Ovis aries: one gene and its partners. The main gene of each other region encodes a partner of the protein of the gene in region 3 in a complex. Links are inferred from orthologs where the notes say so. Each region holds a gene or a part of one and is shown on either strand. Other genes may lie near its edges.

The links. Proteins that work in one complex are often made in the same cells at the same time.
Region 1: RRS1 (region 3) and RPF2 share a complex: the UniProt entries of both Homo sapiens proteins name them as parts of the hexameric 5S RNP precursor complex. The link is inferred for Ovis aries from reciprocal best matches to the Homo sapiens genes RRS1 and RPF2.
Region 2: RRS1 (region 3) and HEATR3 share a complex: the UniProt entries of both Homo sapiens proteins name them as parts of the hexameric 5S RNP precursor complex. The link is inferred for Ovis aries from reciprocal best matches to the Homo sapiens genes RRS1 and HEATR3.

Annotation. Positions count from the first base shown.
Region 1 is NC_056061.1:26,646,697-26,649,328, forward strand, and holds part of RPF2 (ribosome production factor 2 homolog), read right to left. Parts: intron 1,306-2,632; coding exon 1,161-1,305; intron 602-1,160; coding exon 422-601; 3' UTR 1-421. UniProt on the Homo sapiens protein: Involved in ribosomal large subunit assembly. May regulate the localization of the 5S RNP/5S ribonucleoprotein particle to the nucleolus.
Region 2 is NC_056067.1:18,022,502-18,026,001, reverse strand, and holds part of HEATR3 (HEAT repeat-containing protein 3), read right to left. Parts: intron 3,433-3,500; coding exon 3,323-3,432; intron 1,178-3,322; coding exon 1,037-1,177; intron 1-1,036. UniProt on the Homo sapiens protein: Plays a role in ribosome biogenesis and in nuclear import of the 60S ribosomal protein L5/large ribosomal subunit protein uL18 (RPL5). Required for proper erythrocyte maturation.
Region 3 is NC_056062.1:43,655,164-43,658,487, reverse strand, and holds RRS1 (ribosome biogenesis regulatory protein homolog), read right to left. Parts: upstream 2,146-3,324; 5' UTR 2,029-2,145; coding exon 931-2,028; 3' UTR 501-930; downstream 1-500. UniProt on the Homo sapiens protein: Involved in ribosomal large subunit assembly. May regulate the localization of the 5S RNP/5S ribonucleoprotein particle to the nucleolus.

The DNA.
Region 1 (2,632 bases), on a different chromosome or scaffold from region 3:
GGAGATGGGGTCACGTTTCCAGGCAGCTCACACTGAGCATGTATACAGTTACTTTGGAACATTTACACTTTCCATGACTTCTTCCCTTTATTTAAGGCTTAACTCAAAATTCTCTAAAATACCACTGGTTGTTCTGGGGATCCTTCCTCACTTATCCACCCAATGAGACAGGGGACATTGTAGGGCGTGGGCAGAGGGTAATGTCACATCACAGAAAGAAAATGGCATACCTGGGTATAATATCTCCAGTAAGAGTATAACTTTCAACCTAATACTACTATGTTACTGTTCATAATGTATATAATATATATAGTTTAGGTAAATTATCGTTATAAAAATATATAATAACACCTTATAAGAAACTCTGAAACAATGGATGCTTCATAACTACAATAAAAATGCAGCTATTGGCTAAATTCCATCAATTCTTTTTAATTCTCTTTGATTTGTTCTCCTCCTCTTCTGCTTTCCTTTCTGCAGGTCGCTTCTTCAGCCCCTTCATTTTCCTGGTTTGTAGTTTGCTTAGGTCTTGCTTTTGCATATGAATTCTTCCATAAGTTGTACCAAAAGTATCATGAGAGATATTTTTCTTCTTCTTTGGCTATGAAATAGTAATATATGAAAAAACAGTTGAGTCTACTATTATGAACTGATAAAAATCTAGTGTACAACAACTATTGTTTAACAACTTCAACCGAAGAAACTAATCATTGTCATGCACTGAGAGAAGTTCTTATGTTTAGCTTAAGGATTATGACTATCATTTCAAATATTTACTGGCATTCCAGAGATGCCATTTCTACTTGCTTTTTAAAACCATTCAAAAGTCAAAATACATTTTATGGAAGTATGGGTTATACATCCTAGGCTTGAAATTACATTTTCACAATGCCCAAAATGAGACCTATTTTTGCTGAAAACTGGCAGTCTTGGCTACCAGGAAGCACTCAGCAACACTTGATGCTTGGTTTCTACAATTTTATTATCCTTTATGATTGGCTTATTTGCTTCTTCCTTCTTTCTTTGGCTCTGAAAGTCTAATTTTATCTATTATATTGATCTGTTTATATATGTCCTTTAATGTAATATGCTACAAATCCTTTTTGGAAAGAAGAGAGGAATATACAAATAAACATGGCACCAATCTGCAAGTCATGTACCTTCAGGGCTTTGGGCATTTTCATAGATAATTTATAAAGGTCATCTGATGCTAGGTGTGTCCGCCTCAGAACCAAATCCAACGAGGGTCCCATCTCTTCCAATTCAATCCGTGGTGTTCTACAGCCAGATTTCTTCAACAGCAACCTTTATGAAATAGCAAAAAGAAATGTTGCTTTGACTTTGATAATCAAAATCCCATTCCTCCAAATACTTTTGTTCTAGAGAATTACAGTTCCATAAAATAACAAAATGTTTGGAAAGCCTAATTTTAATACTTTATATACAGATAGTCTCCTAAGAAGTGGAATCTTTTATTTGATGTCTTTATTTAAGGTTTACATAATTATATTAACAATTTTAAGTGGATCTTTAAGACATTATATTTACATAATTAACAAATTCTTATTTCTCTAAGATCCATTCAGAATAAACTTTTCTCCAAAGCACAGACACTGATCTCTATAGATCGGAATGAACGTAACAAAACCATGACTTTCTGGATACCATATGTATAAATAACCTTGGATCCGAAAGCATATGAAGAATACAGCGCGGGGAAGAAGGGAGATTCATTTAATTCTTTTTTGGGGGAGTGACATTGTAAGAACTGCTCAAAGACTTGAAGGTTATTTGTGCTGAAAGACTCAAATTTGTTACAGTGATCAGATCTCCACACAGAAAAGGACTAAATAATAATGTTCAGAAAAGATGAGCCTTTTCACATAAAAGTCAGGATGAGAAAGAAGTAACAAGTGACACAGAGAAGAGAAAGAAGAGGAAAGCAGAGTAAGTAATACCCAGGAATAAGAAAATACCAGGAAGCAGGAGTGAAGTGTGTAAAACCTTATTAAAAGCCCTGCGTCACATGAAGACAACCAACCAATACAGTCCACTTACAGGAAGTGCTTTTACTGGCTTCTGCAAGAGTCACAGAGATAGGTATGCTGTATCAGACACAGTAGTTCACACTCAACTAAACAAGGCAAAAAGGAAAAACGAAACAAAAAACCCCACAGCCTAGGATATGTAAAGAGCAGAAATGTTAAACAAACAAAAACATACAAACATTAAAAGATAAAATAAATGTTAGTATGGGGCTTTAAGGGAGCAAGCACAGGGAAAAAAGGAGCTTAAATAACGGCTCTTAAGCCACTCTCCTCATGGGGATTCTGGGAGAAGAGACCTGAGGGAAGGCTTGTCTCTGGCCTACTGAGGGGAAAACATTTTTAGGAGCTGAAGATGGCTGACATCATGCCATTGTCCTTAATATTTCACTCAAAGCATACAGGGGCAGTGACCATGTAACTCTTATATCACAGGTTTTTATTTTTTATTCTGCAATCGCCTCTACATCTTTCATATCTCAAATAAACTGTATTTATCATGCTGAACTCGTATCAAGACTAAATCTTGGGAATTCCCTGGTGGGCCAGTGGCTAGCACTCCACACTTCCACTGCAGGGAGCATGAG
Region 2 (3,500 bases), on a different chromosome or scaffold from region 3:
TATACTTAACTGTACACTTAAAGATGCTTGCTGCTGCTGCTGCTGCTGCTGCGTCGCTTCAGTCATGTCCGACTCTGTGCGACCCCAGAGACAGCAGCCCACCAGGCTCCCCCGTCCCTGGGATTCTCCAGGCAAGAACACTGGAGTGGGTTGCCATTTCCTTCTCCAATGCATGAAAGTGAAAAGTGAAAGTGAAGTCGCTCAGTCGTGTCTGACTCTTAGCGAACCCATGGACTGCAGCCCACCAGGCTCCTCCATCCATGGGATTTTCCAGGCAAGAGTACTGGAGTGGGGTGCCGTTGCCTTCTCCGTAAAGATGTTTAAGAAATATCATAGAGCAATTATCCTCCAATTAAAAAAAAAAATGGTTAAGAAGCCAGGGAGCTCTCTGCTGGTCTAGCGGCTAGGATTTGGTGCTTTCACTGTGGAGGCCAGGTTCAATCCCTGGTTGGGAAACTAAAGATCCCGCAAGCAGAGCAGCGTAGCCAAAAAAAGAAAAACTTCAACAATGGTTAAGATGGTAAATTTTATTTTGTGCGTATTTTATCAATTTAGGGAAAATACAAAACATCTCTCAAGATAACTACCCTTGAAGCCCAAACAAAGGGCAAAAGGAAAATACACAGTAAGTTACCTACTACTTACACGCCATCAGATTATTTCTGTATTTAGAAATTCTGGGGAGAGGCACTGGGGGTGAAGATCTTATAGGAAAGTGAGTGGTCATGTCTTAGATGCCTGCAGTCAACTTCTGAACTCACTGCTTCAAAAATAAGAGGGGGTCCTGACAGCACAATTTCTCTATCAGACAACAGGAGCTATTAAATTGAAAACACGTCTAATCTTCTAAGGCTCTGAAATTATGCAGAATCGCTTGAATTAAAGGTTTCCATTTAAATATTAAAAATTTGAGAACAGACATAAGCACAGAAAGTCCTGATGTGGTGAAATGGGGGATTGATTGAATTTTGGCCTCTCCATTTCTGCCTGCTACAAGTTACTAAAATGCACACTATCGCAAGTGGTTAACTTTTACCTGCCACCAATGTCTTCAATAGAAGATACTCCATGGAATTGACAGGAGAAAGCATTGCTGATTCCAGCACATGCAATGCTGGGGTACTGAAAGATTTCAGTAGCTCTGGGTTATCTTCGGTCACCGTCTGCAAACAATATGCTATAGAGACAAAAATCAAATATTCAGAAACAAGTGAATTCCGCTAGGATAATTTAAACCAAAATGACTCATCAAAAAAACTTGCATCTTTACAACTTCTCTGGACACATTTTGTAGGAGACTCACCCTTTTCCTCAAACATAGTTTGTGCAAATGAGGCTTCCCAAATTATCAAAGTTATAAAAGACTTTTCTTTTTTCTTAACTTATAATCCTTTACAGAACTATACTTTTATAAATGAAAAGGCTCTCAATTGCCGTGACAACGTGGAATTACTATAAACATTTACAAAGATTTAGCTTCAATTTCTGTACTCGTCACAGACCAGTAGCAAACAGCCTGTAGGCTGAACACCAGTGCATGGAAAACTGTTGTCTATGACAAGTCCCAGGTTTGGAGACATTTAAAAAATTCTGCATGATCTTAAAAGTTAATTTATGATATAGCACATTAAATAAAAATGGTATTTTATATAAAAATGAGTAAATTAAGAGATAGGTAAAGTGTTAATAGACATAGGGTTCATTTAGCACTTAACTCTTCTCTCGCAATTAAAACAAGATCATGGATTATAACTTGTAAATTAGAAATAATTAACTGCAAGTATAAAACAACTGGGACTGCATGAAAAGCTTGACAGAAGAGACCTCTGACGCACAAATGAGGAAGCCCAAATTTATTTTCTTTGAGATACTGCATTCTATAAAATCCATTTCTATCCAGGTCTAAAAATTTCAAAGCAGATCATTTCCATCCAAATTAGTAGTCAAAATACATGTTATTATTGTGCTCTAGTCTGCATTCCAAAATACATTTATATATAAATCCATATGTATGCATATATGTATATATACATATATTCAAGTGTAATTTTTTTTCATTAAGAGACTAATTAAATTCACTTTAACAAAAAGCTAAGGTAAGTTGTGATTGCTAAGACAGCACGAGTCCAAAGAAAGCTATATTAATACATAGTATGGAATTTCAGTATTTCACTTTACTATATATAAGCTTTGCTTGATTTTCAAAACAGAAGCAATCTGACATTTGCCTTAAAAGAGTTATGAACCTAGCTAAGTGCCAAAGAAAATACTGCTATACACTGTAAAGTTACTTTATTCTGATCCCCTTTTTTAAAAGTTCTTTAGGAAAAAAAAGAAATAACCAAATCCACAAAACTTAAGGCCCAAAAAACAGAAGTGAAGTTTTTCTTTTCAAAGCTATGAACTTTCCTGAAACTCTTATTGTAATAAAGACTGTCCTCTGAGACTGAAAGTCACCTGCCAATTTTCTAGTTCAAGTGTTTTTAAAATCCACATTTACTCACAAGTCTCCCCTCTGCCAAATATCCCATTCTGAGAAACTGATTAAAAAATTTTTCCCAATAGTATTTATTCCACTATTATTTTTTCCTTCTCTGTTCTATTTCCACTAGAGCCAAGAGAAACATTGGTAAGGGGAATACACTTCAGTAAGGGGAATAAACTTGTCCTTGCCAGGAGAAATGTGTAGTTAAATAAAAGGACAGATGCCTATCGTTATGAAGGGTTGAATAAAAAACACTTCTTATCCATTATTTCTCCACTCACCCCCCGCGTTCTGTTGAAACAGAACCCACCCCCTGGTTTGTCTCCTCCCTCTGCTGAGTGAGGGCCCCCAGTGGCTTGTAACCCCACGCATAGAAAGCGAGGGAGCCAAGGCTGCTAACGCTGCCAGACTCTTGCCTTCCCTGTCTGGAAGGGAAGCAGGCCTATATGAAATTGCAATCACTTATCTTCCTCTCTCAAAAAGAGCAGAGGTTATCGTCTACATTCCAATTAACTTTGGCTCAAGGCCTGGCAGTTGTGGGTTACTGCTTCTCTGTAAATGGGAGATGAAAACTTTCAAGAGTTAATAAAAACTTCCAAGAATGTTCAGGCATTAGAAACCACATATGCTCACATAATCCTTTTCCTCCCTCTTAGAGACAAGAGCAGGAAAACTGCATGAGTAAGTAAAGAATTAATCACACATTTTAAAAGATTCAGAATAGAACTCAGTGATGCATTTATATACAATGAGAAAAAAAATCACTGCCATAGAATAAATAAGTTATGTCTGAATAAAAAATTTTGAATAAGGGCACACAAACTTTTCTTTACTTACCTACTGAAATAGCCAGGTCAACATTGGTGGAAAACCTACTTAAATACTTTAATACAATCTCCAAACACCCTTCTTTGTTGAATATAGATACTGCTCTACTACTGCATTCACTAAATCGAAGGGGGAAAAAAAAGTTTTACTATTCACATTTTAACATTAAAAAATCAACCACAGAAAT
Region 3 (3,324 bases):
AGTAAGGATTTTGTAGGTTTCTTTCTCTCTTCCCCAAACAGATCCCACTTGAAGCTTAAAAAAAAAACACCTGGGATATAAATACTGATAAAGATTTAAGTATAAAATTAGGATTAGGACTTCCCTAGTGGTCCAGTGGCCAGGATTCCACACTCCCGATACAGGGGACCTGGGTTCAATCCCTAGTCTGGGAACTAGATCCCACATACTGCAACTAAGACCCAGCACAGCCAAATAAATAAACATTAAAAAAAAAAAAAAAAAAACTGAGATTGAGGATTATTACCATTATTTAGTGAAGTCCAAATTTATCATTTACAGCAAATTAATGTTTTCAGTGTTGAAAAGCATCAAATTTTGTTTTTGAAAGAGACACACTTTCAGTATTATATCTGACACCGAAAGCAGGATGAGTTTTTCTAATAAAAGTGGTCTTGCTGAAATCATAATGTAACTGCTATGTTTTCTAGAAAGTAAATGAAAATAATCTGTACCAGGTATCCAGGTCATTGGTTTTACTTAAAATGTAACCTTTCTGTTCCCACATGCTTTGATAAATACACAAACTTGTCATCAAAATAATGCAGAAACCAGCTGTTAAGTCTCTCCCTTAAACCCCATCCAAAGTTTAAAGAGAGGGAAAAAAAAGGCTGTTTAAAAGTAAAACTCATTCCTAGTTTTCACAGATTCTTTCCCTAATTCAGATGTTCTTAAATACAACCTTTAATCTCCAGCCAGAGTTTTGGTTGTGGGAAATACATTAATTTGTCCAGTCCAACATTTACATATCATCTTCAGAGGAGGGTAAACCTGGCCCTTTAACCTCAAGCTCAGTGAAGGCAGTGGCCAAATCTTGTGCATCTGGGTACTGTATCTAGAACTTAGCATTAAGTACAGTTCTTGGTTTAGGAGAAGGTCCAAGGATGAAATTTACTTCCTCCTCTTTCCTCCTTGGTGTTGCCCCCCTTTTCTCTTGCCACTCAGGCCGGGAGGTCCGGAATTCATCTTGCCTCCCAAACCCCCTTTCCTCTTCCCTCCTTGGCTGGGCGGGCCCCCCTTCCTCTTACCCCCGGGACCCTGTCGGGCCCCCTTTCTCTTGCCCTTCTGACTCATTTTCCTCCGCTTGGCCGCCTCCTCCTGGTCCTCCTCTCTCATCTGCTTATTGGTGGCCCTCGTAATGTCCAACTGAGGCTTTTTGCTGTTCATCACTCGCAGCATCTCCAACTGGCTCTTTCTCTCGGCCGCAAAGTCCCCGAAAAGAGGCTGAAACTTCCTCTTCTTGCCAGAGCCCCTGGGCGCCTTCTCCTTGGGCAGGCGCTCCTGGAAGCGCCCCACAGAGGCAGTGGAGACCTTGGCCACCTGCATGGCGCGGCCCAGCTCCTCCTTACTCTGGTGTCCAGTAGGGTGCATGCCGGCCGCGCTGGGCAGCTGCATCTTGTGCGCGCGGGCCAGGTTACGCAGCCGGTTCAGTTCGTTCTTGGCCACCCGTTCCTTCTTAGCCTGAATCCGCTTGGCGAACTGGTCCTCCATGGGGTCGGCATTGCCCGGCACCTCGATCAGCCACTCCTTGGTGTCGTCGCGGGCTCGCTGGTAGCCCCAGCGGCGGCGCCACTGGCCGCTCACCTCGTCCCACACCAGATTGGTTTTCTTCTTGGGACGGATGCCCTTGAGGCGCGCAAACTGCTGCCAGCGAGTAAGAGGCCGCGGCCTGGGCACCGGCTTCTCGCGCGGCAGACGAGTGCTGGGTTCCGGCAGCCGTGCCACCAGCGCCTCCTCCACGCGCTCGGTAGGCAGCTGCCACAGCTGGTTGATGAGCAGCTGCGTGTTGTCCCGCGCCAGGGCCCTCAGCTCGGCCTCCTGTGTGGGTCCCGCGTGCCGCAGCCCGGTCGGGGGGTTCCGGTCAGAGGCCAGCAAATTACCCAGGTCGAACTCCAGCTCCAATTCCTTCTGCACCGTGATGCGCTGTAGCTTCTCTGCCTCGTCCCGCTCCGCCTTTGCCAGCAGCTCCTCCACGCTCTGGCCCTCCATGGCTCCGGTTCGGCTCGCTACCTCTGGGAGACAGTTCTAGTCACGACTCCTCCTACAAGGGTTAAAGCCGCGGCACCCCAGACACGTGCGACTTCCCGGACGCTCGACCCGGAAGAGAAAGTTCCGCTTCCGGGGCACCCGGAAGGGGCTCAAGGAGCGGGCTACCCGAGGAACGGCCGGCAGAGGGCGGTGTTAGAGAGCAGATGAGATTAGAGGCAGCCTTTGGGGTGGAGCCCGGAGGTAGGCGGAGCCGAATCTACGAATTCCGAGGCCTGATTGGGACCTTGGCTCCCAGGATGCCCCTGCGGGAGGGGGTGGTCCTGTGCGAGCTGGGCAAGTTAGGGGGCCGCGGACTAAGCGGGCCCGGGAGCGACTGTTAGTTTTAGTGTGTGTAAAAGTCAGTTCTCAAGTTGTTTAGCCAGTCATTTTCACCAGAGCCTTGACACCTGTTCATGGTGTGCCCCCGGGTGTGGGCACTTCACCTGGGGATGTACAGAAAGCTAAGTGGAGACGGAGACTTTGTTTTCTTTGGGAGCGAGCGGGTCTGGCGGTTAGACCGCCCTGAAGGGGCGCGGCTGTGCCCCCATCCTGGCGACTTCAAGTCTGGTCTCCGGAGCCCAGGGCCACCTTCTCTCCTGGCTGATGGCAGAAGAGCGCGGGGCTCAGCTGTTAGACCGCCGGGGTTCCGACCTTGACCGCTCTGGTGTTTGACCTTCGGCTGTGTAACTTGTTTGTGCCTATTCTTAAACCTGTAAGATGGGGTTGCAAATATTACCTCCCAGGTCTGCCGTGAAGATAAATGAGTTAATATGCTCCCAAGGGAGCTTACACTGGAGTCTTGGGCATATGAGTGCTCAATAAATGTGAGCTAAATACCAGTAATTGTTTAATTCTCATCATGGCTCTGGGAACTCTGCTGAAAAGGCAGTCTTATACAGTGATTAAACACCAGGTTCTTGAATCAAGCTACCTAGAATAAGATCTGGGTTTCTTGTACCCACATTGGTCAGGTTGTTTAACTTAAGTCCTATTCATAAGTTGATGAATATGAATCATTAGTTCCTGGTACATTGTAAGCATTCAGTAAGTGTTGGCTACTGTTATTCACTATATTCCGCTGGTGACAGAAGCAGGCTCAGAGAAGTAAAATGACTTGTCTAAGGTTATACAGCCAGGAAGTATGGGAGCAGGAGAAGTCTAAACTCTGGCTCTAAAACTACATACATATTCTCTGCAATGTCTTCCAGACTCTTGATACTCAAAAAAGTGTGGTCTGTTGACCAGCAGTACAGCAGC